Callithrix jacchus: one gene and its partners. The main gene of each other region encodes a partner of the protein of the gene in region 7 in a complex. Links are inferred from orthologs where the notes say so. Each region holds a gene or a part of one and is shown on either strand. Other genes may lie near its edges. The genes, in order: CRNKL1, PPIL2, RBMX2, CTNNBL1, DHX16, BUD13 and PLRG1.

Region 1 (4,063 bases), on a different chromosome or scaffold from region 7:
GAGTGAATACGTAACTGTATGACTGAATAGAAGCCTATAAAAATTTAAAACTAAATTTCTTGGTTTCAAGAATTATAAATATCCACAATAGGTGAGCTGTGAATACAGAGGAGAGAAAACCATTAACAGCTGATGCATAATTCTGGGTTTTTTTTCACCTTTGCCTCCAATTCTTCATAGAGTGCATAGTTGATCCAAAGATAAATGTAGCGCTTCCAGTGCCTCTTCTCCTGGATGGGTGGGACGTTGGCAATGGCCCTTTCGTAGACTTCTCGCACGGCTTCAGCTTCTGCGTCACTTTCCACCAAACGCAAGTAATCAAACCATGCATCATAATTGTGTGGATTCGCCTAGAAAGACAACCAGTTTAATAAATAAAAAGCAAAATGAAGAGCTGCGCTTGCCAGGTTAAGTGAGATGAAAAAAGGCACCAGCCTGACCTTCTATATTTTAGCACCTTTTCTTTTTTTTTTGTTATTTTTTTTTTTAGCACTTTTTCTTCTAAATTTTTCATGTTCTCTCATTTTAAAAACACCATCCCTGAGATGCACATATAGAAAAGAAACAGAAATACAGAGGATAGATCACTGGCCAGGTATCCCACAGCAAAGCCCCCTTCATCTACAGCCATCATTTTCAAGATAGTCAATAATTAGATGCCTCTTCTTATCAATGCATTTGCTTATATATGTGACTACATATCATGTCTGTAACCAAATTACAATAGAATGATATTATGCTCACAATTGTTAAACTTGCTTTCCAATTAAGAGTAATTTATCATTAATATATCTTGCTAACCTACCACCTCATTAAATAACAGACTTAGTCCTTTGCTTGGAGGTATCTTAATTAGACTAAGCAAAGGTATTTTTAAATACACAGCAGAATACTGAAGGCAAATGCTACTCTCTTTGAATTGAAATCAAAATAGCACATTACAGAAAAAGAGATGCCGATAGAACCCTGTATAGCATAAATCTTTTGTGCAGGCAGTTAAGCTCAAAGGGTGATGTGCAAAAACAGGTTTTTGGACCAATCTCTGACTCTTCCACCTCCTTCCAACAATGAGCTCAAATGGATTCCACACTTCTTTTGCTCAAGTTCTACATATAATCAGCAATCAACAAAATGAATTTCAACATCTGAGTGGCAGAGCAAATCCCAGTGTTGTTTGCTTGCCTTTTCTATCACCCTCATTTATTCCTACTTGTGTGAAATAGCCATCAGTTGATCACAGGCACATCCTCAAGAGGGTAATCATGGGTAATGCTAACTTGCTGTTTCCTTTAGTGTTGCTAGTAAGGCTGAGCACATCTCAGCTATCTGCAGAGCTGACCATGCACACCAGCGCTCACCTTCACTTCTTCTTCATACTGGAATCTCCGTTTGCTCACGATGATATCTTCAATACCCCGCCTATCACCAAACTTCTTCTCAAAGATGGTATAATTTTTAAAGAGTTCTTGGGCATCTTGTTTTGAAATTCTGTCCAGGGCATACTTGTAAATCACTCGTACCCTTTCAAACTAAATGCAGAGAGGATGATTACCTTCTATAACACAATATTCTCATGCCAGTCACAACAAGGAAAGTACATGTAACAAAATATTACCTATAAGTTAGATTTTGAGGCCTCATAATGTCGGAAGTAAATGTTTTTCTCCCTCTTGTTGAAGTGAGCTGTCAGGATGGACCAGTACTCTGCTTTGAGCTCCATGTTTAATACTGTCTACCTAACACCGCCAATTGGATGTCCACTGCACATCTCAAACAGGTCCAAAACTCAGCTTCTGTTTCCTCCCCACTCACCCTGGGACTTTCCCCATCTTCCCAATCTTAGTAGGCAATGCCTAACCTGGAGTCACATACTTGCTCATGCCAAAACCTTCAGGTGTTCCTTGATTCCTCTCTTTTCCTCATTCTCCATATTCACTCCTGGAACAAGCCCTGCCATTTCAACCTCTTCCACGCAGCCCTTCACTTCTCTCCAGCCTCCAGCCATCAAGCTCCACTGCTTACCTGGACCACTTCAAAAGTCTCCCCACTGGTCTCCCCTGGTTCCACTTTTGCCATACATCCCCACACATTCTCCACGAATTAGCCAGGGATTCTCTTTAAAATATAAATCATATCCAATCACCATCCTGCTTAAAACCTTTCAGTGCTTCCTACTGGCTCAAACAGAATCTGAACTCCCTAGCATGGTCTGTGCAAGACCTTGTACAGGTCTACATTTTGTTTTCCGTTCTGGGGCTTTATGCTTCTGAGTATCTCTTGTCGGAAACATTTGGTAGCAGAAGTGTTTTGGATTTGGGATGTTTTCCCAGTGTTGGAATGTCTGCATCACACTTACTGGTTCAGCGGCCCCAGTAGAAACACCCAAAGTCTTCAATGCTCCAGTGAACGTTTCCTTTGAGTGTCATGTCAGAACTCAACAAGGTTCCCATTTTGAGTTTCGGATTTTCAGACTGGGAATGCCAACCCTGTATTTGGATGGATCTCAGCCTACCTCTCTCAGTTCCGTTATTACTTGAACTCCTTTTTTTTTTTTTTAAGAGATAGGGTCTTGCTATCACCCAAGCTAGAGTGCAATGGCATGACCATAGCTCACTGTAGCCTCAAACTCCTGATACTTCTACCTCAGCTTCCCAAGTAGCTGGGACTGTAGGTGTGTGCCAACAGGCCCACTCAATTTTTTTTTTTGAGACAGAGTCTTGCTATGTTGCCCAGGCTGGTCTCAAACTCCTTGCCTTATTTGTAGGGCAGTCTCTGTTTCCATTCTAAATTTTGCTTCCTGTTCTGGAGTTTTATGCTTTTTGTTTCCCATATTTATACCTGTAAAGTCCTTTAAGTAGGATGCCAAATGATCAGCTCTCAGTTTAAAGGGAATTAAGACTAAAAGTCTTAATTTTCAAACAAAGCACAACCAAATTAAGACAGTTATAATACAATCTATAATCAGCTCCCAATATGTAGTTGAATCACATACATATGCAGTTCTCTGTGAGAAGTTGCGTTTTTGCATTTTGGCAACTCTTCTCCAAGGTATGTAAGAAAAATGAAAATGAACCCACCATGCACAAAATGTAATCTTTGCTAAGCTATTTTACAGTGTAATGAAGTTCTTTAGGCATATTACCTCTTTCTGATTTTCTTCAAACTTAGCAAAGGCGACATAAAGGTGCTCATCCATATGTTCATCGCCAAAGAATTCCACAGCTCTCTCATACACCTTCCGTGCGTGAGCAAAATAAGCATGTTTTTCTTCAAAGCGGGCATACTTGATCCAGTTCTTAACATCAGGGTGCACGAGGACAAGTGCAAGGGAATTAAGGAAATACCAGGCAAAAACAGCATGGTTTGAAAGACTAAGCAAACGCTAAAACCATACCAAAGCCTGGACACCCCAACAGTTCAAACTACAACTCCAGGGGAATAAAACACATGCAGAAGTGTAGAACTAAACGGTGGCTTACCTGGGGGCAGGGCCACGCCTTCTCATTCTATCTTCCTCCAGTGCTTAGTTAAGATTTTAGTACTGGGTACAATCTTGAGTTTGGAAGCAAAGAAAAATCTCAACCCAGATTACTAACCATGTGATCTCGGATAAGTCATTGAACTTGTCTAAGTCTCAGCTGTTTCGTTGGTTAACAGAGAATAATGCCAACCTCATTGGATTACTGCTAGCTTTAAATGAGAAAATGTATGGTAAGCCCTTAGCACAGTTTCTGGCCAAAAGAACATGGCACCGTAAATGGTCAATAATGGTCTGGTCAATAAATGACATCAATTATATTAAAATATAAATACTTGAACTGATAATTAAGAAAAAGTGCTATAAAAAGAAAACTGCTAACTAGAGTCAAAGCCGAAAGTTTTGAATTGCCATTTTAATCTATCTTCCTTGAATAAATCATTGATTTCCAAAGTGGTAATATATTCAAATATGGCCAAGAAGTTAAGAGCATTCGTTCTTCTAGGTTCACGTTCCATTTCCATCAGCACCTATGAAAGCCTAGTCAAGCTACTTCACCTCTCAGGCCTCGGCTCCCTCACCTAT
Region 2 (4,670 bases), on a different chromosome or scaffold from region 7:
GCAACGCTTCATCTTAAAAAAAAAAAAAAAAAGAAGAAAGAAAAATTAGGAGGCCGGGCATGGTGGCTCACGCCTGTAATCCAAGCACTTTGGAGGCCAAGGCGGGCGAATCACCTGAGGTCGGGAGTTCAAGACCAGCCTGACCAACATGGTGAAACCCTGTCTTTAAAAAAAAAAGAAAATAAAAATCAGGAGAGGCTGGGCGCGGTGGCTCACGCCTATAATCCCAGCACTTTGGGAGGCCGAGGCGGGCAGATCACGAGGTGAAGAGATCGAGACCATCCTGGCCAACATGGTGAAACCCCATCTCTACTAAAAAATACAAAAATTAGCTGGGCATGGTGGTGCGTGCCTGTAGTCCCAGCTACTAGGGAGGCCGAGGCAGGAGAATTGCTTGAACCCAGGAGGCGGAGATTGCAGTGAGCCGAGATTGGGTCACTGTACTCCAGCCTGGTGCCTGGCGACAAAGCAAGACTCTGTCTCAAAAGAAAAAAAAAAAGAAAAGGAAAAAAAGAAAAATTAGGAGCCTAGGCCAGATCATGCCGGGCCTGAGTGTAGATAGGGGCCCAAGGGAAGGGTCTAGCAGAAGAGACAGAAGGAATCAGGCAGGGCTTTGGACCTCTAGGCTTGATGGCCACCTGCTGCCGGGCCTGTGAGGGGCCTCGAGGCGGTGGGGACCCAATGTGCAGGGAGAATGAGAAGTGAGCGCGTAGACACGGAGGGCGGACATAACTTTGAAGGTGTCTGCTGCGGAGGCGGCAAGGGATGGAGTGGAGGCTCATGGGACATGAGGCTCCAGGAGGACTTTGGAAAAGACCTGAGCGCTGGCTGGGTGTGGAAGTTTAGGCCTGTAATCCCAGGACTTTTTGGGAGGCCAGTATGGGAGGACTGCTTGAGCCCAGGAGCTCCAAACGAGCCTGGACAACATTGTAAGAGCCTGTCTCTACAAAAAGTTAACACATTAGACGGGTGTGGCGGTGCGTGCCCATAGCTTCTCGGGAGGCTGAGGTGGGAGAACCGCTTGAGCCTGGGAGGTTTACGAAGTAGTGAGCTGTGATTTCGCCACAACACTCCAACCTGGGCGACAGAGCGAGATCCTGTTTCGAAAATTAATACATAAATAAGACCTGAGAACTCAATATGGGAATGGCCCTGAGCCGTCGCTGGGCGGGTAAACGAGGCGGTCCAGACGGAGACCCCTAGAGAAGATGGGGCCTCAAGGCTGAGGGAGCTCGGTCCTGGGAAGGCGCCAGCGGGAGAAGGCACATCCAGAGGCCCAGATTAGGCTGTCGACTCTTCCGAGCATGCGCACCTGGCGCTAGCGAACAACAGGGCCCGGCACGCCGGGATTCCGTTTCCGGGGCGGGCCGCGAAACCCGGAAGTGGTCACCGAACGCTGCCAAGGCTCCATGGTCTGAGTTGTCAGCCGTTGCTTTTTCGTGCTCGTTAGTCGTCGCCGCCGCCGCGCCGCCATGGGGAAGCGACAGCACCAGAAGGACAAGATGTAAGTTGAACCGCAGTCGGGAGCGGCGGCTCGCTCTGCCTCAGTGACCCGCCTGTCCCGTACTGCGCGCCAGTCGCCTTCCCTCTCAGCTAGTCTCGGGAGCCCAGCACAAAGGTTACTTCCTCCCGGAAGCCGTCGCCCTCTCTTCTAGCTGGGTATTGACCCTCGGGCCGCCGTGCTCTCCCGTGGCTCCGATGACGTCTGCTGCGGGCCCGAGCGCAGTCGGGTCTTCCTTTACTCTGCTTCTGCCCGGGCCGCCCCCCACTGCTCGCGAGCTTTGCCCGAGTGAGTAGTCTCTCCCTCTTCCGTACATCCGGTCTCCCTGTGTTCTGGTTTATGCCCCTCAGCCTGCACACGTGCTGCAGAGCCTTCCAATTTAAAGCAAACCAGGCTGGGCGCATTGGCTGACCTGCAATCCCAGCACGTTGGATCCAGCGAGCGGATCACCTGAGGTCAGGAGTTTAAGACCAGCCAGTCCAACATGGTGAAACCCCGTCTCTACCAAAAATACAAAAATTAGCCGGGCGTGGTGACCGGCGCCTGTAATCTTAGCTACTTGGGAGGCTGAGGCAGGCGAATCGCTTGAATCCGGAAGGCGGAGATTGCAGAGCCGAGATCGAGCCACTGCCCTCCAGCCTGGACGACAGAGCGAGACTCCGTCTCAGAAATAAATAAAACAATACAATAATGCAATACAATACAATCCACCCGTGTCCCTTGCCCCAGTTCCCCTCCCACTGCCGCCGTATTTTCTTTGATTCTCTCGGAACAAGTGAGAGACCCGTGGCTTCGTGCTGTTTTCTGAGTCTCTTGAAGCCATTTAAGTCAGAGTTTCAACCCTAGAACTCCTCTTGTCATGTTCCCAGCGACTTCTTGTTGCTAAATCTAGGATTCCGTCCTCAGTCCTCATTTTGTTGGGCTTCTCAACAGTATGTCACACCGTTGACCACTCCCTCCTTCTGAAGCCCTTCTTTGGTATCTGGGATTTCACATGCTCTTTGTTTTCCAGCGGCCTTTCTTTTCCCAGTCTTCTTTCTGGACTCTTCTCCCTTCTCCCAGACCTCGTAGGTTTTTTTTTTCTATAAACATTCCCTGTGGGTAATATAATTTCCCAGTCATCTGTAAGCTGCTTTCCCCAGTCTTGTGTAGTTAGCGACTTTCTTATTATCGCCACTGGAGGACTAACAGGTGTCTCAAATTTAATATGCCTTAAACAGAGCTCTTGATTTTCAGCTCCTGAGCCTGTTCCTCCCTAAAAACTAAAAATCTTAAGTCTCCCCACTGGCTGAACAGACACCCTTGTGGCCAAGAGAACCCCAGGAAAACCTTAAAACTGAGTTTATGGCCATGATGGGATGGAGGTCAGATGTATCCTTTTGTGTCTTGGACACAGCTGACCAGGATTAATGTTGAAGTAGAGATCATAAGATTGACAAAACAGACTCTGGCAATAAGATACCAAATTATAAACAGAACCCACAGACAATTGTGCCAGACAATTTCCCTGGTTAAGTTATCCACTCCTGAACTTAAAGAATAAACTATATTCTAACTGCCACAAGATTTTTCTTTTTCTGTAGCAGCTAAATAAGCACTGGTTTTCACATAAGCAATATTAAAACAGTTGTAGTCCACTAGCAGACATGGACTAATTGAACCCCTGTTCTATCAGTCGTACTGCAGCTTTAGTCTGGGCTCAGTAGCTCATGTCTGAAATCCCAGCACTTGGGAGGCCAAGGCGGGACGATCACCTGAGGTTGGGAGTTCGAGACCAGCCTGACCAACATGGAGAAACCTGTCTCTACTAAAAATACAAAAAATTAGCTGGAAGTGGTGGCACATGCCTGTAATCCCAGTTGCTCGGGAGGCTGAGGCAGGAGAATTGCTTGAACCTAGGAGGCAGAGGTTTCAGTGAGCCAAGATTGAGCCATTGCACTCCAGCCTGGTCAACAAGAACTAAAATCTGTTTCAAAAAAAAGAAGTAAATAAATAAATAACTGCAGCTGTGATTGGACAAGAGACTGATTTCTGTAACTTTCTCCTGATAAGACAACTGACCATGGACAGGCCCTGGCCAGTTTACAGAGGCTGCTCATTCGTATGCTCTCAGATTTTTAAAAGATCTTTTGATGATAAGGCCTACTTACAATACATTTAAATGTTAAGTCTCCACCTTAAAGAGAACAGGGGTCATAGGTTACATATATGTTTATTTATTATGCCTATGTTAGGACCATCTTTATGAATATTCAGAGATCCTTTAACCTGTTAAATATTTATGATTAACTTCTTCAGCATAAGGCTCTTCCTACTCCAGTCCCTCCTACTTCAAAGTGCCTGTCTCTGGGATTCAGCTGGAGGCCATGCTTCCAGCCTGCTGGATGGCCACTTTAGGCTGTAACCCATTATAAGAAATAAAGTCAGGGCCGGGCGCGGTGGCTCACGCCTGTAATCCCAGCACTTTGGGAGGCCGAGGTGGGTGGATCACGAGGTCAAGAGATCGAGACCATCCTCGTCAACATGGTGAAACCCCGTCTCTACTAAAAATACAAAAAATTAGCTGGGCACAGTGGCACGTACCTGTAATCCCAGCTACTTGGGAGGCTGAGGCAGGAGAATTGCCTGAACCCAGGAGGCGGAGGTTGCGGTGAGCCGAGATCATGCCATTGCACTCCAGCCTGGTAACAAGAGCGCAACTCCGTCTCAAAAAAAAAAAAAAGTAAATAAATAAATAAATAAATAAAGTCTGCTTTCTAACTTTATAGATTATTTATTTATTTTCATTTTTTTTTTTTGAGACGAAGTCTCACTCTGTTGCCCAGGCTGGAGTGCAGTGGCACAATCTCGGTTCACTGCAATCTCTGCTTCCCGGGTTCAGGCAATTATCCTGCCTCAGTCTCCTGAGTAGCTGGGACTAGAGGCAGTTGCCACCATGCCCAGCTAATTTTTTGTATTTTTAGTAGAGATGGGGTTTCACCATGTTTGCCAGGATAGTCTCCATCTCCTGACCTCATGATCTGTCTGCCTCGGCCTCCCAAAGTGCTGGGATTACAGGTGTGAGCCATGGTGCCCAGCCAGATTTTTTTATTTTTTTTGAAGTTTAACATTCCCTGTCCTTCATATTTCAGTGGTCACACCGTTACTCAGCTTGCCCAGGTCAGATTTC
Region 3 (4,522 bases), on a different chromosome or scaffold from region 7:
TAGAGAATCAGAATAAACAAACACACACACACATGCTAACTGATCATCACTCAGTGTATGTAGAACTAAACAGCTCCAAGATGGAAGACTGAATTGGGTAGAAGTAGAAATTATAGGCTGCACCTGCTGTTAACTTCCCACCATCCAGAAGTTGGAGGAAGCAATCTTTGTCCCTGCCAGGGCCCTCCAACCATGTGGGTTGCCCAGGTTCTCTATCACAGCCTTCTTCTCACGGGTACTGCCTAATTCCTTTCCTATGACTTGCTGCCCCCTAAGTGGCCCAACCACTTGGCCAGGACCCTCTGTCCATGGATGACCCTACCATCCTGCCATGGCAATCCCTCTGCCAGGGTATGCTACCTGTGTTTGCCTGGCCAGCCCCTTTTGCCATGGTCCTCTACCTGTACATGCCGTCCAACTTCTCTGTACTATGTTCCCAAGGCCCAAAAAACCCAAACATAGTGCTCCTCTGCACCTGTGAGCCACCAAGGTCCTCTGGTCCTGTGGACTAACTGTGCTGTTTAGCTCTGGGGTTGCATGCCAGCTGCCCAGCCCGTCTCCTACCAGCTGCTACTACCAGTATGAGCCGCCAACACCCTCTCCCACCAAGTGCTACTGCTCAGCAGAATGAAGAATATACAGGTCTCCTATTCATTCTTGCTCCTCATCAGCCTGTGATTCTCAGCCTCCAGGTAGAGACTGGCTTCGCTCACTAACCTTACACTCATTGAGAAACAAAGAAAGCAAACTACAACCTATACCTTCTATTTTTTACCCCACTTCTGTGTTTTGCCCCAATCCTATGATGCCACACAGGTTAGGGCCAGAAGGGCCCTGTGACCATCAGTTACCCCTAGTTTGCAAGAGCCAAGGAGGTGGACCAACACGGTACCTTCCTGAGGGTTCCAATCTGTTCTAGTCTAGGCCCAGGCTGAACAAGCCTCAGTCAAAGACAACAGAAATAGACCTGAATTCCCAAGATGGCCGCCTAAATTAACCAACTTTTTGGATTTCCCACAGGAGAACATTCTAGAACCATGTCCTGGGACTGATCCAGACTAAAGCAGAATCTCCAACCCTCCCCATGCAGGGATGCCATTCAGCCTAGAGTGAAAATAAGTGGTTTTTGTGATGCCACAAAATGCATTATAGAAACAAAGTACTCTGTCGACTCAGGAGGCAGGAAATGAACAGGGACTTACTGTGAGAACACACAGATGATGTCTCCTTCAGTCAGTTCATAAGGAAGCCCTCCTAGAAGAGAAAACCACATTTCAGTTCACCCAACATTTACCAAGAGTTTACTACGTACCATGCACTAGGCCAGGCACTAGGGGTGCAAACAGTAAGCAATAGGCCCTGTCCTTAAAGAAATCAAGTCTGGGCCGGCCACGGTGGCTCATGCCTGTAATCCCAGCACTTTGGGAGGCTGAGGTGGGCAGAGCACCTGAGGTCAGGAGTTCAAGACCAGCCTGGCCAACATGGCAAAACCCCGTCTCTACTAAAAATACAAAAAAAATTATCCAGGCAAGGTGGCAGGCACCTATAATCCCAGCTACTCAGAAGGCTGAAGCAGGAGACTCACTTGAACCCAGGAGAAAGAGGCTGTAGTGAGCCAAGATAGCATCATTGCACTCCAGCCTGGGCAACAAGAGTGAAACTCCAACTTAAAAAAAAAAATCAAGTCTGATGCAATGACAGAAGTACATGTAAGGTGCCAGTAGTACAGGAAAAGGAGTGATTAACTTTGAGTGGAAGTCAGAGTCACCACTAACTAAACTAATCTGATCACTCAGTCCTCCTGGCACCCCAAATACTATGGACAAAGCAGATAGTTTCCATCACAAACCTCTGCTTCCACAAACATGCTGAATTCATCTGCTCATTATCCACAAATTTACAGCTATGATACAAAATCAGTCTACATATGTCATGGTTAATCCCACCTAAATATAGACAAACGTTATAAAGACACTGTTAAGCATTTCCTAGGAAATAATTTCCCCTCCAAATGTTTCTTTCCTCATCTGTAAGATGAGGATATTAGCACATAACTCACAGGATTGTTATAAGAATTAAATAAAACGACGCATATAAAGTGCTTAGCACAATGTTTGGTACAATAACCTCTTTGAAACGTCAAACTGTACAATTACTGGTTGTGACACAAAGTGAATACAGGAGTGGTAATGTGGCCATGGACAGAAGACAGCAGCTAATTAGAGGAGAAAAGTGAATTCAGGAAGGGAAGGGGAATGAGAGAGGGTGGTGGTAGCAATGTGGGTGTGTAGCTAAGACCATGATTTCTAGAATACTATAGTTCTGCTTGTTGTGCTTACTAGCTATGTGACCTTAATGAATTCCCTTAACTTCTCTGCACCCCAATTTCCTCAGCTGTATAATGGGTCAGGGGTGAGAGAAATAACAACAGTCCCTGAGCCTTAGCACAGCAAATGGCAAACAGTAACTCTCATGATTTGGCAGGGAAAGAAAACTAAAAATAGGGGAGAAAAGAGATGGAACATGGATTCCCGGGCAGACAGCAGATGGATATAAAGGTGGGCGATGAATGTAGGCAGGAGTGAAGGGTCGGAACGCTGAAATCGTCGGAAACCGAGTAGGAGAATCTTGGGAGCACTGCGGGAGAAAGATGTGCACCTCACCCAGGAAGATCCAGGCGCTGTCCTTGTACTCGGAGTGCCAGGACACCTTATCGGCCACCCCAAGCTGGACCTCTCGTTCATTCAGCTCGTTGATCAGCTTCACCTTAGTTAAAGGGCTGCAAGGTGGGGGGATGTGGAGGGAGGAGGAAAGCAGACAAGTAAGTGCGACTGGGCAGGAGCTGAGAGAGAGCAAAACTAGGGGACGAACTGTTCTAGTCACAGAGCCTCTCCCGCCTCTGTACACCGCAGACTCTCTACCACCCCAGCCCCAGCGGACCACCCCCGGCGACTCGCTGCTCCTTCCTCAAAAGGAAGCTAACGCCTTACTTCATCTCCGCTAGCTCGCGCTCAGCATTCAGGTATCGGCGCCCGGATGAGGCAGCGCGGCGCATGCGCGACCCCGGCTCCGGTTGCCGGTTGAGTCGTTGACCTCGCGCCGGAAGAGCTAGGGCGTACCGAGGTCGTGGCGCCTGCGCACTAGCAGCCTTCCGTGCCCTGTGCGATTACTTCTGGAAGAGATGATTTTCTCTAGTTTTTCGATTTTTCTTTTCTGTGAAATGGAGTAAAGGAACGAGCCTGGGTTGTTGCAGGACCCCCAGCACTTGAACGGTGTCTAAAGCTGGTTAGATTAGCTATAAATATTTTCTGAGTGAACGGAACAAGCAGTCTGATGTGGCAACTTCAGTCTCAGCCCCCGCTCTCAGTCCAGAGTCCCACTTGGACCTTCGCTCCTGGTCAGTTGCTCACACACAGCCCCATCAAAGCGTCCCTGTCATGGCAGAAAAGTGAAGAAGATAAGCGAAAGGGTAAATCTTCTGTTGTTCTTATCCCAAAACACAGGCAACATACCAGTGTGCCTCTAGAGGCTGAAGTGAATGCCTACAGATTTGCACGAGAGCCACTGCACTCACTCTTTTCCATCGACTCTCCTAGTTGAGGAGGAGGCAGAAATTAATATTGTTAAATTAATAGCTAACAATTGAACAGATGACATACTATACGATGCAAGAGTATGTGCTAGGCAGTTTACATGTATTGTCTCTCCACCCTCACAACAACCCAATGAAGCAGATAAAATTACAATCCCCTGGTCAGGCACAGTAGCTCATGCCTGTAATCCCAGCACTTTGGGAGGCCAAAGCAGGAGTATTGCTTGAACTCAGGAGTTCAAAACCAGCCTGGGCCACATAGCAAGACCCTGTCTCGAAAATAAAGGGGAAAAAGGGGGGCCAGTCATGGTGGCTCATGCCTGTCAACTCAGCACTTTGGGAGGCTGGGGTGGGCGGATTACCTGAGGTCAGGAGTTCAAGACCAGCCCAGCCAACATGGTGAAACTCTGTCTCTATTAAAAATAGAAAAATTAGCCAAACATGGTGGCACATGCTTGTAATCCCAGATACTCAGGAGGCTGAGTCAGGAGAATGACTTAACCCTGAGAGGCAGTAGCCAAGATCACACCACTGCACTCCAGCCTGATGATAGAGCGAGACTCCATTCAAAAAGAAAAGAAAGAAAAAGAAATTTCTACCCTTATTTTGTAGAGGAAGAAATGAGGCTCAAAGGAATTAATTAACTTGAAAGGTACTCTACCTCCACCCATCAGGTCAGGTTAATTTAATCAGTCCTTACTGAACATCTAGATTTGTCCTGCACAGCTAAGGTCTGTAGACAGGAGTATCAGGGTGGGCCCTCTACCCTCAAGGAGCTAGTATTATAATTAAGGGCACAAGATATATTTGCTTGATAGATTTCAACCACAAATATCTAGAAACCAGTAGAAGAGATGGTTGACATATGTGATTTAACCCATATTGACAATTTGAATCCATCTTGCACGTGTCCACATCAATACCTGCTCT
Region 4 (4,803 bases), on a different chromosome or scaffold from region 7:
CCCTTCACATGACTGGCTCCCTCTCAACCTCCAGTCCTTTACTGTCCTTCCTCGACCACATTACATAAAGTAAAAGGTCCAATATATATTCAACTCCCAGGGGTTATTCTCTACAGGAGTGCTGTCCAACAAAAACACAAAAAAAAGCCACAAGCAAAACACCTATCTAACTTTACATTTTCTAGTAGCCACATTTTAAAAGTTTTTTTAAAAGGTAACATTAATTTTAATAATATATTTTCTTTAATCCAATATATCCTAAGTGTTGACATTTATTCAATGTGTAATCAGCATAAAAGGTAAGATATTTTACATTATTTTCATACTAAATCTTTGAAATCCAGTGTGTATTTTACACATGCAGCAGATCTAAGTTAGAAACGAGTCACATTTTTAAGTGTTCAATAATCACACGTGCCTAAAGGCTACTATACCAAGCAGTGCAATTTTATATCATACTCTACTATATTCCCTCCTAGCACTTACCACAATCTGAACGTCTTGTTTACTTAGTATCTTGTAACTTCCCACCAGATGCTCCACAAAAGCAAGAATCTTGCCTTTTATTCAGTGTTATATACCCAGTGGATAGACTGCCTTGCACACAGTAGGTGTTCAATATATATTTGTTGAGCAACATAGTAGGTGTTAAGCAAATGAATTTTTTTCTTTTTTGAGACGGAGTCTTGCTCTGTCACCAGGCTGGAGTGCAGTGGCCTAATCTCAGCTCACTGCAATCTCCACCTCCTGGCTTCAAGTGAGATTCCCCTGCCTCAGCCTTCCGAGTAGCTGGGACTACAGGTGTGGACCACCACACCCAGCTAATTTTGTATATTTTAGTAAACACGGGGTTTCACCACATCGGCCAGGATGGTCTTGATCACCTGACCTCATGATCCACCCACCTTGGTCTCCTAAAGTCCTGGGATTACAGGCGTGAGCCACCAAGCCCAGCCTTTTCTAGCTTTAATGGGCTAGCCCTTCTAGAAATTCCAAGCAAGCATACAATCACTCATTCAACAACATGCCTAATTCCCTTTGTCTTTCACTATCAATTAAACTGTCTTTAAAAGAAAATTCTCTTGGCTCTACAGCTCTCCATTGCTTAATTGTTCTTTCCCATGATGTCTTAAGTGTCCGGGGTCAATTTCTCGTATGTTGGCTGAGGGAGTGGTGGGAAAATAACTGCTTATATTTACTGAATGTTTACTTTTTGGCAAGCATTGCCTAAGCACTTTACATTTCTCAACAGCTTCACAACAGCCCTGTGAGGCAGCTACTGTCATTTCCCCCCATTTAAGATGAGGAAACCAAGGCATAGAGAAGTTAAGTATTTTGTTCAAATTTATAGCAGCCAGTTAGTAGCAAACCAGAGACTGCCAGCAACCTAGGGGTCCAGACTCATGGCTCTTAATCACCTATTCGTGACTGCAGAGCTGTCCAACAAAAATGTAAGCTGAACTACCTACGTGATTTTGAATTTTCTAGTAAACACATTAACACGTCAAGGGGAGCAGTTAAAATTGGTTTGAAGGCCGGGCATGGTGGCTCGCGCCTGTAATCCCAGCACTTTAGGAGGCCGAGGCAAGCAGATCACCTGAGGTCAGGAGTTCAAGACCAGCCTAGCCAACATGGTGAAACCTCGTCTCTACTAAAAATACGAAACTTAGCTGGGTGTAGTGGCGCAGGCCTGCAATCCCAGCTACTCAGGAGGCTGAGGCAGGAGAAATGCCTGAACCCGGGAGGCGGGGGTTGCAGTGATTGTGCCACTGCACTAAAAAAAAAAATTGGTTTTAAGCATATTTTATTTGCTGGGTGTGGTGTGTGGTGACTCACACCTGTAATCCCAGCACTTTAGGAGGCCAAATGGGAAGATCACTTAACGCCAGGAGTTTGAGACCAGCTTGGGCAACATAGCAAGACCCTGTCTCTACAAAAAATTTAAAAATCAGCCAAACATAGTAATGCCCGCCTGCAGTCCTAGCTACTGGGAAGGATACCTTAGACCTAGGAGTTTAAGGCTACTGTGAGCAATGATTGTGCCACTGCACTCCAGCCTGGGCGACAGAGCAATATCCTGTCTCTAGATAACAATAAAATAAATTAAAAATTAAGTATATTTTATTTCACCCATTATCCAAAATATGATCATTTAATCAATATGACCAATAACCAATGTAATTAATATAATCAGTACGATCATGTAATCAATACAAAAATGTTACTTTTTCATACTAGTCTCCAACCTAAATGTAACTTTACACTTACAGTACTTCTCAATTCAGACTAGTCACATTTCAAGCATTCAACAGCCTATGTGGTAGCTACCACACTGGGCAGTGCAGCTCTATTGCCCCTCACAATGAGCCTACTGTGGAATCAAAGCGGGGGACCGGGGGGACCCTTTGGGGTGGAAGTCAAGACACCTGAGCTCAAATTCCAGCTCCTTGTTTCTGAGTGACCGGACAAATCCTTTTTGCTCTCTAGGTCCCTCACAGTTTCCCCACAAGTATCCTATGCAACGGGGGGCCCTGAGCAAGATTCCTAGAAACTCAGTTCCATTCCTAGAATTCCCAACATCTCCTCCAAATCGCAGTAAACACAAGCACAGCTTTCCACACTTTAAAACCAGCTTTCATATCCATCAGTTGGTACAGTCCTCAAACAACCCTACTAAGGCAGCTATTAGTGTCTCCACCACATAGACACAAAAACCTGTTTCAAAGAGGGGGATATGACTTGTCCAAAATCCACACAGCCAGTCAGTGGAGAAGCTGGAGCTCAAACCCAAGAGAGATCCAAGTGCGCTCCCACCATGACCACCACCATCACCTCAATGACTGGGGGGACATGAGAGCTGAGTGGACATGGCTGGGAAAACGGGATAGTCTGGGGTTTCAGAGGAGTTTCAGGGAACCAGGCCCCGGGGTGAGGAAGAGGAGGTGAGAGGCTCAGGTCTTGAGAAGGGACGAATCGAAAGGGCCCAGGAGGGCCTCGGGAGGAAAGTAAAACGAGGGGCTAGGACTCCAGGTGACTTGAGAAGTTAGGGGGCCCGGGAGCTAGGCGAAAGGAGGTGAGATGAAGGGGCTCTGGCCCCTGCGACCCTTGCCCAAGTGAGAAGGCGGTCGCTCGGCCCTCCCTGCCCCTCATACCTGGTAGCTCAGAAGTTCGCCCACGTCCATGGTACCCGACCCAGCAAATCCGGTCCCCTCCACTCACGGCCAGACCACGGGCCCGTCTGCCGCGGCTCCAGCCACACTGCCGTAAAGTGCAGCGAGCGGGGCCTCAGAGCCAATAGAGCAGAAGCGCGCGCGACAAGCGAGCAGGCCACACCGCGGTAAAAGGCCGCGCCGCCGTAAAGTGTGCTGTATTTGGAACCTGGCTGCTTCCGCCTATAACCTGAGGGGGCGGGGAAAGGGGCGGAGACTTAGAGGAGGGACTGGAGGAGAAGAGCAGAAACCGAAAGAAACCAAACTTGATTCCGCGCCCCCCGTGTCCAGAGCGGAGCGCTGGGTGCTTAGTGTGCGCTCTCCGTAGTATTTGAAGTGACTTGTCCTCATTTCACAGAAAAGGAAACTGATGCTCCCAACTGCACCATCCAATACTTTAACCCAGTAGCCACGTGTTACCGAGAGCTTGACATATGGCTACTCCAAAGTGAGATGTGCTGTAAGTGTAAATAAAATACACACCAGATTGGGTCAAATAAATATATTATAAAATGAATTTTACCTGTTTCCTTTTACTTCTTAAATGTGGTTAGTAGAAAATTTTAAATTACACATGTGGCTCTCATTTGTGGTTTCCACTAATTTCTATCAGACAGGGCTGGCTCAAAATGTGACTTGTCCCAAGGCTGTACAACTATTACTGGCTGAGAAACTGTTGGATCACATGTCCCTCTCTAGACATCTGTCTATTCATCTATGCAAAGTCTGACAGTAACTAGATGAACCTGGTGCTACCCAGGCGATATAAAAAGGTTTCTGGAGGAGAAAGTTGCCCATAATTGGAAGAGTATCATTCAAATTGTGCATCTTAATCTCCTGGGATGTAAGGCTCCATCTTCAAAGGAAATTAAACCTTTCTCCATAAGCCCTGCCCTTTATATTTATATTTATATGTTGTATTATATTTATATGCCCTTCATAGTTATAATTTTGGTCCCCATCCTAACTCCACTGTCTCCAACTATACAGAAATTATTCTTATTCCTCAAAGTGACAAATCCTCTCCCCTTCTGTCTAGCTATCAGCCCCACATCTCATCCAACTCTCTCATCTTTCCGGTCTCAAATGTCACTTTCTTAGAATGGCTTCTTCAACTCACCCTCAGTCAAAGTAAGCAAACTCTCTCCTCATTATTCTTTACTGTGTATATATCTCAATCTGTAATTTTGTGTTTAATGGTTGACTATTTGTTTCTTGACAGCCTTATTTACTAGACTGCAAGCTCCATGCAAGCAGGATGTGTGTATGTCATGTTCACTACTGTATCCTCCAAGCCTAGTACAATGCCTACTAGAGGGAGAGGTTTCATAATGGGCCTTGTGTGCCAAGGTAAAGAGATTGGATTTTGGCCAGGCGTGGCTGGGCGTGGTGGCTCACGCCTATAATCCCAGCACTTTAGGAGGCCAAGGCGGGCAGATCACTTGAGGTCAGGAGTTTGAGACCAGCCTGGCCAACGTGGTGAAACCCCATCTCTACTAAAAAATACAAAAATTAGCCAGGCATGGTTAGCCTCTAATCCTAGCTATTTGGGAAGCTGAGGCGGGAGAATCCCTTGAACCCAGGAGACAGAGGC
Region 5 (4,063 bases), on a different chromosome or scaffold from region 7:
TTTTGAGATGGAGTCTGGCTCTATCGCCCAGGCTGGAGTGCAATGACATGACCTCTGCTCACTGCAACCTCTGTCTCCCAGGTTCAAGCAATTCTCCTGCCTCAGTATCCCAAGTAGCTGGGATTACAGGTACATGCCACCATGCCCTGCTCATTTTTTGTATTTTTTGGAGAGATGGGGTTTTGCCAGGTTGGCCTGGCTGGTCTTAAACTCCTGACCTCAGGTGATCCATTCACCTTGGCCTCCCAAAGTGCTGGGATTACAGGTGTGAGCCACCATGCCCGGCCAACAACCAGCTAATTTTTAGTAGAGATGGGGTTTTGCCATGTTGGCCAGGCTGGTCTTGAACTATTGGCCTCAAGTCATCTGCCTGCCTTGGCCTCCCAGAGTGCTGAGATTACAGGCATGAGCCACCACGTCCAGAGAAGTTTGGACTTTAGACAGCTTAGTAGCAATCAAAGGATTTTGAGCAGAGATGTAACTTTCATTCAACAAATATTTCATGAGTTCTTTCTGTGTGGTGCCAGATACACATGAGTTGATACAGTGATGCACAAAACAAAGTCCCTAGCCTACTTGTACTTGCGGTCTGTTGGGGAAACAGTAGATGCGTAAATACATAATGTCAATTTATGGCCAGTGCTGTGAAGAGATACAAGGCAGCATAGCAGGATGGAACTTGACTCCTGAGAGGTGGGGGTGAGGACTGGCATGAAGATATTTGTTTTGGGGTATAGGGAAGGCCCTTCAGTAAAGGGAAAGTGGAATAGAGACCAAACCAGGTGAGGGAGGAGCCAGGCTGATATTTGGGAGAAAAGTGCCACAGACAGAGGGAACAGCTGATGCAAATGAAATGATCCAGTGAGGAGTGCATGTACGTGGGCAGAGCAAAGCAGTGTGCAGGAGGAGTGAGGGAGGGGTTGGAGTGCTAGCAGATGAGGTCAGAAAGGCAGCTAGGGTAGGTGATCCAGGCTTTTAAGGGGATTGGATTGCATTCTAGAGTAGGATAGGAAACCACTGAAGGATGGGGAGTGATATGACATGTTTATATATTAAAAGGACCATCCTGGATGCCATTGACAGGTTGGGAGTAGAAACAGGGAGATGTGTTAGAAGGCTCTTACAGGAAGTGTTGTGTGAAGATGGAAGTGGTGGTGAGGAAGACGGGACAGGAACTTGAACACTCCCATTCCCCTTCTGAAAAAATTAACACCCTAAGTCCTCTTCTCCATTTTCTTTCCTCCTTGTGCCCCTGCTGACTCCCAGCCCCCATTTCCCTCTGCCCTGTCTTCTGTCCTTGTCCCTTGCTCTTGACCTTGGATACTAATTCCCTCAGCTCCTGCCCCTTACCGCAACTGCTTTACTACTTCTAACTTTCCAAGATGACTTTTTCTGGGTAACGAGGTTGGCAGGGTCACTGGGTGACCCCATATCCTCTCACTCAGGTGGTTGTGGCAACAAACATTGCTGAGACATCACTTACCATTGAGGGCATCATTTATGTGCTGGATCCAGGGTTCTGTAAGCAGAAGAGCTATAACCCCCGCACAGGAATGGAATCACTCACTGTCATACCCTGCAGTAAGGTCAGCTTGGGGATGCATGGGGGTCAGGGAGGTAGAATTGGTCCACAGGGAAGGTCCAACTCCAGAAGCAGGGTGGGGGCTTCTTAGCAAACGGGGATGAGCAGTTTACATCCATCTTAATTTCTTGCATAAATACTGCCCTTTTTCTTTTCCCCAACCAAATTGTCAGCTAGCCTGCTCGCCTTTCTTTCCAGGCCTCAGCCAATCAGCGAGCTGGCAGGGCAGGTCGGGTGGCTGCAGGGAAGTGCTTCCGCCTGTATACTGCCTGGGCCTATCAGCACGAGCTTGAGGAAACCACAGTGCCTGAGATCCAGAGGACTAGCTTGGGCAATGTCGTGTTGCTACTCAAGAGCTTAGGTGACTGGGCTACCTGAGAGAAGGGGGAGGTGGGCTGGAGTCATGGTCCTTTGAAGGGATTCTGTTCCATCCTTCCCACCTCTCTCTAGGGATCCATGACCTAATGCACTTTGATTTCCTGGACGCTCCACCATATGAGACACTGCTGCTGGCTTTGGAGCAGCTGTATGCCCTGGGAGCCCTCAACCACCTTGGGGAGCTCACCACGGTGAGTTGGTGGGCAGCATGGGTGGGGGCAGGATGATACGGGTCAGGATGGCTCCAGGGACCCCTATAGCAATGGAGAGAATCCTGAGGGAGGACCGGGCTCAACTCTCTGTCTTCTCTCCTTAGTCTGGTCGAAAGATGGCAGAGCTGCCGGTGGATCCCATGCTGTCCAAAATGATCCTAGCCTCTGAGAAGTAAGCCCTCCTCTCCACCCAGGCCCCCAGGCCTCCTCTGTCTCTGGGGTCTTCTTTGTCTCTTTGTCTTTTTCTCTTCATATTATTATTTAATAAATAATAAATTATTAGATAACTCTGAATGCCCCCTTTTGAGGCCCACAAGGGTAAGACACTTGATCCTTGATCCTGTCCTTGATTATACTAAATGGGCAAGACTGACTGACAGAAAATTCTGGGTCATGAACGAAAGTAGATTTTCCATCTGGGAGGGTTATTGAATGAGGGCTGGTTTTGGAACTTACTCATTCCCAAGGTTTCAAACTAGAACATTTAGATGTAGCTGTGGAGGGACCACCTTTAAATGCCATTCCTCTGCTGTCGAGATCTTTTCCGAATGCACATAGTGAATGCACACTTTCTGTAGAAACCTCAGAAGTCCCCAGTGTTTTCTGCTCCTGCCTCCATGGATATCCCTCCCTTGTGACTGTGTTTCATCTATGCTCCTACCTCCTTGACCCTCAAGCTGCTGCCAGAATCTATCTGCTGGCTGCTTTGTAACCATTATGCCAACCAGCCTTCCCCACATGAGGAAACATCCATCACACAGCGGTCACTTCCCCCTCTACCATATCTGTGCTTATGTGTCTTGCTTTGAACTCGTGCTTTCCCCTTCCTGTCCCAGGTATAGCTGTTCAGAGGAGATCCTGACAGTGGCTGCCATGCTGTCTGTCAACAATTCCATCTTCTACCGGCCAAAGGACAAGGTTGTCCATGCTGACAATGCCCGTGTCAACTTCTTCCTTCCTGGTGGTGACCACCTGGTTCTGCTAAACGTTTACACACAGGTCACTGGGCTTGGGTGAGTGGGAAAGAGACATGGGGGGACTTCAGTCTCGCTGTACACTTAACTACCTCTCCTTTCTTTTTAACTCTCTTCCCAGTGGGCTGAGAGTGGTTACTCTTCCCAGTGGTGCTATGAGAACTTTGTACAGTTCAGATCAATGCGCCGAGCCCGAGATGTGCGGGAACAGCTAGAAGGGCTCTTGGAACGTGTAGAAGTTGGTCTCAGTTCCTGCCAGGGGGACTATATCCGTGTACGCAAGGTCAGCATTTCTTTTGCCTACTGCCTTCTACCCGCAGTAGCTTCCTGGTGGCATGCAGCAGCTCCTCCAGCCTGAGGACATGCCCTCTTCCCCTTATGTACCACATTTCCTCCCAGGGCTTTCTTCCCCAGACCACTGAAGGTTCATTCCTGGGGGATTCTTCATGCCTTCCCTACCTCGCTAGTTTTCCCAAAGCTTGAACTAAAAAGGTAGTGAGCACTTAGGGTCCCCAGATATCTGCCTTTTCCATTGATTTTCTTTCCTGCCTTCCCCTTAGGCCATCACTGCTGGTTACTTTTACCACACGGCACGGTTGACTCGGAGTGGCTACCGCACAGTGAAACAGCAGCAGACGGTCTTCATTCATCCCAACTCCTCCCTATTTGAGCAACAGCCACGCTGGCTGCTCTACCATGAACTTGTCTTGACCACCAAAGAGTTCATGAGACAGGTGAGAACATCCTGTGCCCATACAGGTGGAGTCTGTAGAGAGGTGTCCTGGCAAGCTAAGAACCCAGGTTCAGGTTGCTCAGCCTGATACAAAAATAGGGAGGTAGGGTGAAATGAAAGACATCCTTTTGTTTTTTGTTTTGTTTGAGACAGAGTCTCACTATGTCGCCCAGGCTGGAGTGCA
Region 6 (4,063 bases), on a different chromosome or scaffold from region 7:
TGGCATTTTTCTTTTCTTTCTTTTTTTTTTTGAGACGAAGTCTTGCTCTGTTGCCCAGGTTGGAGTGCAGTGGTGCAATCTCAGCTCACTGCAACCTCCGCCTTCCAGGTTCAAGCGATTTTCCTGTATCAGCCTCCTGATAGGTGGGATTACAGCTACACACCACCACGTACAGCTAGTTTTTTTGTATTTTTAGTAGAGACAGGGTTTTACCATGTTAGCCAGGCTGGTCTTGAACTGCTGGCCTCAACTGATCCACCCGCCATGGCCTCCCAAAGTGCTGGGATTACAGGCATGGGCCACTGCGCCCAGCCAAAATGGCATTTTTCAAGAAGGAAAGAAACACTGGGACTTAGTAAGAAGTTATAATGATGCATAAAACCAGAGCTGAAATTTGATAGCAATTAGAAGTTTACAATATCAGGTACAATAAGCTATGTTTTGTAAAAAAGCAACATGAGACTAGATTGGTCTCTGTGCTTTCATATTTTTACCTTCAAATGCCATGGTTTCTTGGTCCTGTTTCTTGAGCTCCTGCTGCTCTCGCTGTATGTCAGTTAACACCAACCCAGTTTTAGCCCCAGAATACATGTATGCAGCCTATGCAATGGAAAAGGGAGCATCCAACATTAATGGGATGATGTGGCAGTAGGCTCCACGGGTACACAGTTAGATGCATTTGTCTCTGATGAGCAGCAATAATTAAACCTAAAACTCTAGCTTTATATTCTCATTAATTATCACGATTCAAAAACCATAAAAGAAAGAAAATCTAATTTCATAAAAAAATCAATACCATCAAGTTTAAGAGTAAACAGAAACACAAACAAACAATATATTAAAGGGAGGGCTATGCATTTGCATTTTTGACTTTTCAGTATAGAAACTGTACACATGAAGATTCTCTCAGGTCATCTGATCAGAAGCCAGTATAAAGCACTAAGTCTTCCATTAGAGACCCACACTGACAAAATACTCCATTTAAAATACAAACTCAAGCAAACCTAAGATCCTCAAATCGTGGATATATTTCAGGGTAATAACAGAAGATCTAACCAAATGAAAACTTTTTGCTAATTTCCACTTAGTATCAAGACAGCAAACCAGCCCACAAATGAAGCACACAGTATATCCTGATATCCTTAAGCAACTATAATATTAAGTTGTCCATTAACTAAATGGATACATAAAATGTCAAGGGGTCCAGCTGAAACAGAGACCTCTTTTTTCCAGAAAAGAGAAGACTCTCACTCCCTGGGTAAAGAAAAGGCTGATCTACCCTACCAGGACCAGTCTTCTCAGACCCTTCTTCAACAGACAAGATTTACCTGGTAAGTCTGCATTGGGGAGAAAAATGCACACCACAGCCTCCATCATTCTGTTTCTTAACCACTCACAAATCAGATTCCTTTACTACTATTAATGTTCTCTACAATAGAATTACTCAAGGTTCATATGGAGTTTTGGGTTTTTTGGCTAATTCATCAAGCTTTATCATGAACTCAGAACAAAACATTAACTTCCCAGACAACATGATTTCTAAAAGTAGTTCCGTATTTTAAGTGTCTCTTCTTAAGCTCTGGATACAGAGACCTATAGGTCAATTTATACTAGTAAATCACCAATACCAGATGCTTACACTAGATGCAGACACTATGCTAAGAGATTTATTTACACTGGCTTAATTATCACAACCTTACACAGTAGGTACTGCTATTAACAACAATTTACAGATAAAGAAACTGAGGTTTAGCGATAATAAGCAACTTGCCCAAATCTCACAGACAGTAAGTGGCAGAAGGAGAATTTCAATATGTGATTTGTTTGACACAATGCTTGTGCCCCAAACTCCACTCTGCAAATTACAGTCCTCAGTTTATTCCTAAGAATATAGGAAGCTTTTCTGGACCTGCTAAAATGAGATTTGTAGAATTAAGAGGCTATAAAAGCAGAAGCGACTTGGGAAATGTGGTATCTATAAATCCACCTGGGCTGGGTTATAGCCAGTTTGCCTTCAGAAAGAAAGAGATCCAAAGGTCCTTTTAACTAAGATTTACTACACTTCTAAAAGCTACATCCTTCTCCTTTGGCTTGATTCTCTGGGACACATATAAAGCTCAGAGAGAAGAGTCATGCGAAAATAAGGACATAGCTTCTGAAAATCCTAACCTTCTTTCCAGGAGGCTGACTCCTTCGAGGTGGGGACAGGTCAGAATCAGAAGATTTGGTCCTCTGTCTCCTCCTTGGTGGAGAGAGGTCAGAATCAGAGCTCCGGTGCCTAGGTCTATTCCGTGGAGGTGACAGATCTGAATCAGAATCCTGGTGCCCTGTACTTTGTTTACGCCATGGAGAAGAACAGTCTGAATCAGTTGCTTTCTGGCAGTCACCTGGATAGAAGGAAAGAATCTGTGTGACTCTGATGTCCTCTAGGTGAAGAACTTACATAAAATCTCCTATGACTGTGAGAAGAACCTCCAAATGAAAGAATTCTTTTTTTTTTTTTTTTTTTTTTTTTGTGAGACAGTCTCAGGCTGGAGTGCAGCAGCACGATCTCAGCTCATTGCAACCTCTGCCTCCTGGGTTCAAGTGATTCTTGTGTCTCAGCCTCCCAAGTAGCTGGAACTACAGGTGTGCGCCACCACAAACGGCTAATTTTTGTGTTTTTAGTAGAGAAAGGGTTTTGCCATGTTGGCCAGGCTGGTCTTGAACACCTGACCTCAGGTAATCTGCCCGTCTTGGCCTCCCGAAGTGCTGGGATCACAGGCTTGAGCCACCATGCCTGGCCAAACAATTCTTTAATCCCCTTGGAAGAATCTAAAAAAAATAACTTACCAAGCTAATATACAATATTTATTTAGTTTTCCTATGAAGAATTCTCATTAACCTAAACATAAGTATGAATGACACAGGAGAAAAGCAAAGTCAGAAACAACTTTTAAGACCAACAGGTAGAAGATGGCATTCTATTACCAAGTGACCAGTGGCTGTAACCGTGTGTGAGATCTCCACACACTCCTCCATGTCAGTTACCCCACCCATGGACAGACAAAACATTTGTATAGTCAGTGCTCCATAGCGTGACAAAAGTCAGAAATACCTAGAATACATTCTGATATCCTCAGACTAAATGATAACAAAGTAGTTTAATTTTAAAATTAAAATAGTTCCTAGAAAGAAAAGAGGGAGTAAAAAATTTCACTGCACAGGCCTAAGTTCTAGTGACTGTATAAGCATCACAAATCACCTCCCAAAGAGCAATCTGCAATATGTATGGACAGTCTTTAAAATGCCCACATCTTCTGACCCAGTAAATCAACTTCTCAGCTTTCTAGGAAACCTATACAGAAGTGGTTGAATTTCCAGGAAATCTATCTAGAAATAGATAAGGAAATAATCAAAAATGGGGACAACACTTTATGTACAAGATGTCTGTTACAGAATTGCAGAAGCAAAAACTTAGAAATAACCAAAAACACTCATTATTAGAAAAATGGTTAAGTAATTTTATGTAATGGAACACTATTAACATCATATTAACATAAAGATGTTTTTATGGCCTGAGGAAGACTATATTAAGAAAAGACAGCAGACAAGATTACAAACGCAATACAATATTCTGCATAGCCAGAGCACAACTATATCAAAAATGCAAATCAAAAACCAGAAAAGATTAAGATGACCCTGGCTGCAACACTAACAATTGCCTCTGAATGACAGAATTTTGTGTCACTTTTCTCTTTATACACTTCTGTACATTCTAAAGCTTCTGCAACAAAAAAAATTGTACTTTTATATGGGGTGGGGCAAGTAAATAAAAAGATATATGAAAACCTTCCTCCCTACCACCGTAATTTTTTAACTCTCCCAACCCCAGCCTCTCACTTTTCAAAACTTTCCCAAAGAAACTCCATTCTTAGACCTTATAAAGCAAGTAAAGGGCCAAAAGAAAGCTCCCAGGGGATACACACATCCCTCTCATGGACAGTCATATGCTCACCTTTGTAATCAAGCTGCTGCTTATCTCCAAAATGAGATTTTGCTTGCTTTTTTCGTGGAGGAGAGA
Region 7 (4,063 bases):
TGCCCCTCCTGGCAGAACTTATTGTGATCATACAGTATTTAATGGCTGTATTGGTATTATAATGGAAGTTTTGATCCTCATGGGAATACTGAGACATTGGTTGCTGACTTTTTTTTTAAAGCAGAATAATGATGGCAGAGATTCTTAGAATGTGGAGAAAGTCGCAGTGGAGACTAAGGGAAGAATTTGGAGAATATTCTTAACCTGTGGGGATGCCATGTATCTTGTCTGTAATTCAGAAAGATGAAATTAAATACTAAAATCGTAATAAAGAGAATTCAAGATTCCACAGGAAACCATTCACTTGGAAGAAATACCAGAGTGGATTGTCATTTGATAGGAGGGCTTCTTTGCACACCATTGCTGTACAGCGAATGGGCAAGGACATGGTTTACAGGGGTCAGAGCAAAAGTGATCAACTTCCCTTATTTCTGAGGCTTGACTTTAGTTGAGAAAATTTGGTAGCTCGGTTGATAATTTAATATTATTTGCTACATTTAAAGAGATGGTAACTTTTATATAAGATACATTCAGTACTGTTGATTTTTTTTCCCCCTTTTTCCAGGACAAGAAGTTGAATACTTTGTGGCAGGTACACATCCATACCCACCAGGACCTGGTTAGTGAGCTGTTGCATATTGAAAATGTCTTTAAAATGTCACACATATTTTCACTAATGAGCCAATAATGAGATTCTCATTGCCTATAAAATGCAAGATAAGCTCAATAGCCAAGCATCCATACATAGCTTTGTAGGTGATAATAAATATTCATGGGCCTTCATCAGCAAAGATTTTTAAGTATGTAATTTTTCAGGCACTGTGCTAGGAATTCAAAGACAGTAAAACTGTTGCAGGCCTAGACCAATTTATTATCTGGTGGCTTAGGCAGACATGTAAATATCACTAAGCTTATAAAAATAATGGAAATGTTAGAAGCAGTATGTTAGAAACATGTCCTATGTCTATATTAAGGCATTGGCTTTCAAATGGAGGGGCTAGTATAACAGGGTAGAGGACAAAAGGCTTAGTATATACAGAAAGTACAGGGAAATTGGGTGTAGTAAGTTCCATCCCACCTTTGGAAACATTATGTTAGTATTTGAAGAACTGCTTAATACTGACTTTTGAAACCAATACCCGAATATAATGGAAATTAACTTTACTATTCTGGGCTGCTTTAATACCAGGTTGGTTGTGATGAAATCAAATTTGAGTTACGTGTTATTAGGCAGTATTTATTGTAGAAATTAAAAACAAAGATGAGCAAAATTTAATCAAAATTTTATCTCCACTGCCTGGAGATAAACATTTGGTGTATGTTTTCCTTCATCCTTTTATTTTAAATGTATATAAATGAAAACAAAGCTACTAAAAGAAATTGATTTTTCATTTTAATAGGGGTCGCTTTGACAGCAGATACTAAGATCCAGAGAATGCCAAGTGAATCAGCTGCACAGTCCTTAGCGGTGGCATTACCTTCTCAGGCCAAGTATGAAGTACTATAATTACAAAGATCTTAAAAGCATATTTCACTGTTGATGGTTTTTTAAAAAATTTCTTTATAACTATTATATGACATTTTTCTTTATCAGGACTAAGAAAAGTTTAAAGGGTTGGTTTTGCAGAATATATGACTGGAGGTATTAATTACTTTATATAATTTCTTTTGCCTCAGGGCTGATGCAAATCGTACTGCACCTAGTGGAAGTGAATACCGACATCCTGGGGCTGCTGACCGTCCACAGCCTACAACGATGAATTCAGTAAGTTTTTCTGCCTCAAATAGCAGGTTTTTAACTTTCAGATTATGTTGCCTTATTTCCCTTTAACCAAAAGTCTTAAATACTAAAGAAATGAACACTTCTTTGGAATAATTAAGATAAATAGCAGCATGAGCTAGTCATTCATATTTCATAGCCCTAAAACTCAAGTTGGTAGTAAATTAATGTATTTTTAAGAATTTAATTCTGTTATATTGTGCATAATATATATATTTTGATAAAGATAATATGATGTTGGTATTTATTGCCCACTATTAAAAATGCAAGGAGTGTTTTTTGAAACTTGTGCTAGTATGTATTAGATGAAGTTTTAGTTTTTTGTTAAAACTAAGTTGGCTATTCAGTTACACACTGTAGAACTGTACAGTTGTACTGTGCTGTTAGTGTTGTGCTATTCATGCGTTATACAACTGGTCTTATAAATGAACATTTAGAAATAAGTTTATTGGTTTGTAAGTAAGTGGCAACTGCTCAGTATGGTAGAAGTAGTAATATAATTATTTTCTACAGTGTTTTTACTGACTTATTTATCTGCAGTGTATTTTCTTATGCTGCCATTTGAAATAAGTGCTGGCTTTACTGCTCAGCTCATTATGCAATTGATTTGACCTTATGAAAGGAGTGAAGGTGTAGCCTCCACATCTCATTTCTTCCTTTAACTTCATTCAGAACACATTTTCTGTCCAGGTTCTCTGTCCTTATATTATGAGGGTATAATTTAAGTTTCTTGAGGGCAGGAACTTTATGGGCTTAAATATTTTTTAGGTGACTAGATGGTTGCTAAAATAGAAGGTATATCAGGTAGCATACCTTTTAAAATATTATTTAAGTATTAGAAGATAAATATTAATAATGTTAAAATATGACAGTGAAAGGCAGTGGCATTAATACACTTAAAATAACTTTAATAATAGAAGCTTACATGGAGCATTTACTACTTTTTTGTAGTAACCCTATGAAATAGGCACTATTCCCATTTTACAAGTGAGACACATAGAGGTTACATAATTACTACCCAGTGTCAGTCAGCTAGTAATGGGCGGAGCTGGGTTTTGAACCCATACGGTGATGTGTACTCTTAAGTCTAAGTTCTGCCTCTCTGTGGCTTTATAATTGCTTTTTTAAATTAGCATGCAGAAAATTTTATTTCTTCATTTATGGAAAAGCTTTTGTAAGTTTTCTCTTTCAGTTTCCATTTCGGAATTGATAACATGAAGCCTTAGGTATGATGTCTTTAATAATAATAATGTAGTCTCTTTTATGTCTAGATTGTCATGGAGACTGGCAATACCAAGAATTCTGCACTGATAGCTAAAAAAGCTCCTACAATGCCAAAACCCCAGTGGCATCCGCCGTGGAAACTCTACAGGGTGAGTGACTCTGCATTTATTTTATTATGTAAACCATGATTGCTTTCTAGTCGACAAACACCGAAGAACAGAATAAGGAGGAAAAAGTGAATCCAGGCAGTATCTTAAAAGAGCTCTTGGGAAGGTCACTTCCCTAAGTAAAATTTGCACTTGTATTTTATATAAAATACAATACAAAATGTCCAGATAAAGCTACTAAATATGGATGGCAGACTAAATAAATTCAGAAAAAGTGTTCAAAGTATTTAGTTTGAAGGTGAAGGGGGAAATACCATGTGAAGAAATTTCACTGGGCTTACCAGTTATTCTTGCAATTACAATAAATTACAGTGATTCAGAGTATATCATCTAAAAGAAAATGGGCATGCATGCTCACTTCAGCAACACATACTAAAATTGGAATGGTGCAGAGAGGATGAGCATGGCCCGTGCACAGGGATAACACAAATTTGTGAAGTGTTCCATACTGTTTGATTATTTTGCATTGCTTGACTGTATAAAAATATCTCATGTACCCCATATTTCTGTGGATTCACAAAAATTAAAAACAGAAAATTTAAAAAGAAAATATACATAGGAAGTGTACAGCTACACAGAATATATATTTTAAATTTTTATTTTTCAAATGATGGTACAGTAAGAACCTTTTTCTTTGACATACAGATTAATGAATTGTAATAGATGTATTGATTTGGGTAACCATTACCACAATTAGGATATAAATGTTACATCACCTCAAAAAACACCCCTGTGCTTTTCTTTTGCAGTTATGCCTTCCTTCATCTCTGACAATCAATGATCTGTTTTCTGTCACTGTAGTTGTCTTATTTTTTTTCAATAATTTAAATACTAATTTATTTTTAGTTTTAATGGCTAATAGATATACATATTTATGGGCTACATATCCAAT

What was found.
Region 1: PLRG1 (region 7) and CRNKL1 share a complex: the UniProt entries of both Homo sapiens proteins name them as parts of the minor spliceosome. The link is inferred for Callithrix jacchus from reciprocal best matches to the Homo sapiens genes PLRG1 and CRNKL1.
Region 2: PLRG1 (region 7) and PPIL2 share a complex: the UniProt entries of both Homo sapiens proteins name them as parts of the minor spliceosome. The link is inferred for Callithrix jacchus from reciprocal best matches to the Homo sapiens genes PLRG1 and PPIL2.
Region 3: PLRG1 (region 7) and RBMX2 share a complex: the UniProt entries of both Homo sapiens proteins name them as parts of the minor spliceosome. The link is inferred for Callithrix jacchus from reciprocal best matches to the Homo sapiens genes PLRG1 and RBMX2.
Region 4: PLRG1 (region 7) and CTNNBL1 share a complex: the UniProt entries of both Homo sapiens proteins name them as parts of the PRP19-CDC5L splicing complex. The link is inferred for Callithrix jacchus from reciprocal best matches to the Homo sapiens genes PLRG1 and CTNNBL1.
Region 5: PLRG1 (region 7) and DHX16 share a complex: the UniProt entries of both Homo sapiens proteins name them as parts of the minor spliceosome. The link is inferred for Callithrix jacchus from reciprocal best matches to the Homo sapiens genes PLRG1 and DHX16.
Region 6: PLRG1 (region 7) and BUD13 share a complex: the UniProt entries of both Homo sapiens proteins name them as parts of the minor spliceosome. The link is inferred for Callithrix jacchus from reciprocal best matches to the Homo sapiens genes PLRG1 and BUD13.

What each region holds. Positions count from the first base shown.
Region 1 is NC_133506.1:27,029,152-27,033,214, forward strand, and holds part of CRNKL1 (crooked neck-like protein 1), read right to left. Parts: intron 3,322-4,063; coding exon 3,143-3,321; intron 1,530-3,142; coding exon 1,359-1,529; intron 351-1,358; coding exon 159-350; intron 1-158. UniProt on the Homo sapiens protein: Involved in pre-mRNA splicing process. As a component of the minor spliceosome, involved in the splicing of U12-type introns in pre-mRNAs.
Region 2 is NC_133502.1:193,633,796-193,638,465, forward strand, and holds the start of PPIL2 (RING-type E3 ubiquitin-protein ligase PPIL2), read left to right. Parts: upstream 1-1,378; 5' UTR 1,379-1,472; coding exon 1,473-1,504; intron 1,505-4,670. UniProt on the Homo sapiens protein: Has a ubiquitin-protein ligase activity acting as an E3 ubiquitin protein ligase or as an ubiquitin-ubiquitin ligase promoting elongation of ubiquitin chains on substrates.
Region 3 is NC_133524.1:126,043,369-126,047,890, reverse strand, and holds the start of RBMX2 (RNA-binding motif protein, X-linked 2), read right to left. Parts: upstream 3,056-4,522; coding exon 2,991-3,055; intron 2,780-2,990; coding exon 2,664-2,779; intron 1,255-2,663; coding exon 1,203-1,254; intron 1-1,202. UniProt on the Homo sapiens protein: Involved in pre-mRNA splicing as component of the activated spliceosome. As a component of the minor spliceosome, involved in the splicing of U12-type introns in pre-mRNAs.
Region 4 is NC_133506.1:33,130,155-33,134,957, reverse strand, and holds the start of CTNNBL1 (beta-catenin-like protein 1), read right to left. Parts: upstream 3,241-4,803; 5' UTR 3,183-3,240; coding exon 3,153-3,182; intron 1-3,152. UniProt on the Homo sapiens protein: Component of the PRP19-CDC5L complex that forms an integral part of the spliceosome and is required for activating pre-mRNA splicing.
Region 5 is NC_133505.1:35,450,880-35,454,942, reverse strand, and holds part of DHX16 (pre-mRNA-splicing factor ATP-dependent RNA helicase DHX16), read left to right. Parts: intron 1-1,445; coding exon 1,446-1,586; intron 1,587-1,780; coding exon 1,781-1,943; intron 1,944-2,032; coding exon 2,033-2,151; intron 2,152-2,276; coding exon 2,277-2,344; intron 2,345-3,008; coding exon 3,009-3,171; intron 3,172-3,267; coding exon 3,268-3,429; intron 3,430-3,706; coding exon 3,707-3,880; intron 3,881-4,063. UniProt on the Homo sapiens protein: Required for pre-mRNA splicing as a component of the spliceosome. Contributes to pre-mRNA splicing after spliceosome formation and prior to the first transesterification reaction.
Region 6 is NC_133511.1:16,401,479-16,405,541, forward strand, and holds part of BUD13 (BUD13 homolog), read right to left. Parts: coding exon 3,998-4,063; intron 2,388-3,997; coding exon 2,170-2,387; intron 601-2,169; coding exon 495-600; intron 1-494. UniProt on the Homo sapiens protein: Involved in pre-mRNA splicing as component of the activated spliceosome. As a component of the minor spliceosome, involved in the splicing of U12-type introns in pre-mRNAs.
Region 7 is NC_133504.1:42,072,275-42,076,337, forward strand, and holds part of PLRG1 (pleiotropic regulator 1), read left to right. Parts: intron 1-565; coding exon 566-619; intron 620-1,400; coding exon 1,401-1,491; intron 1,492-1,677; coding exon 1,678-1,765; intron 1,766-3,051; coding exon 3,052-3,153; intron 3,154-3,523; exon of another isoform or gene 3,524-3,624; intron 3,625-4,063. UniProt on the Homo sapiens protein: Involved in pre-mRNA splicing as component of the spliceosome. Component of the PRP19-CDC5L complex that forms an integral part of the spliceosome and is required for activating pre-mRNA splicing.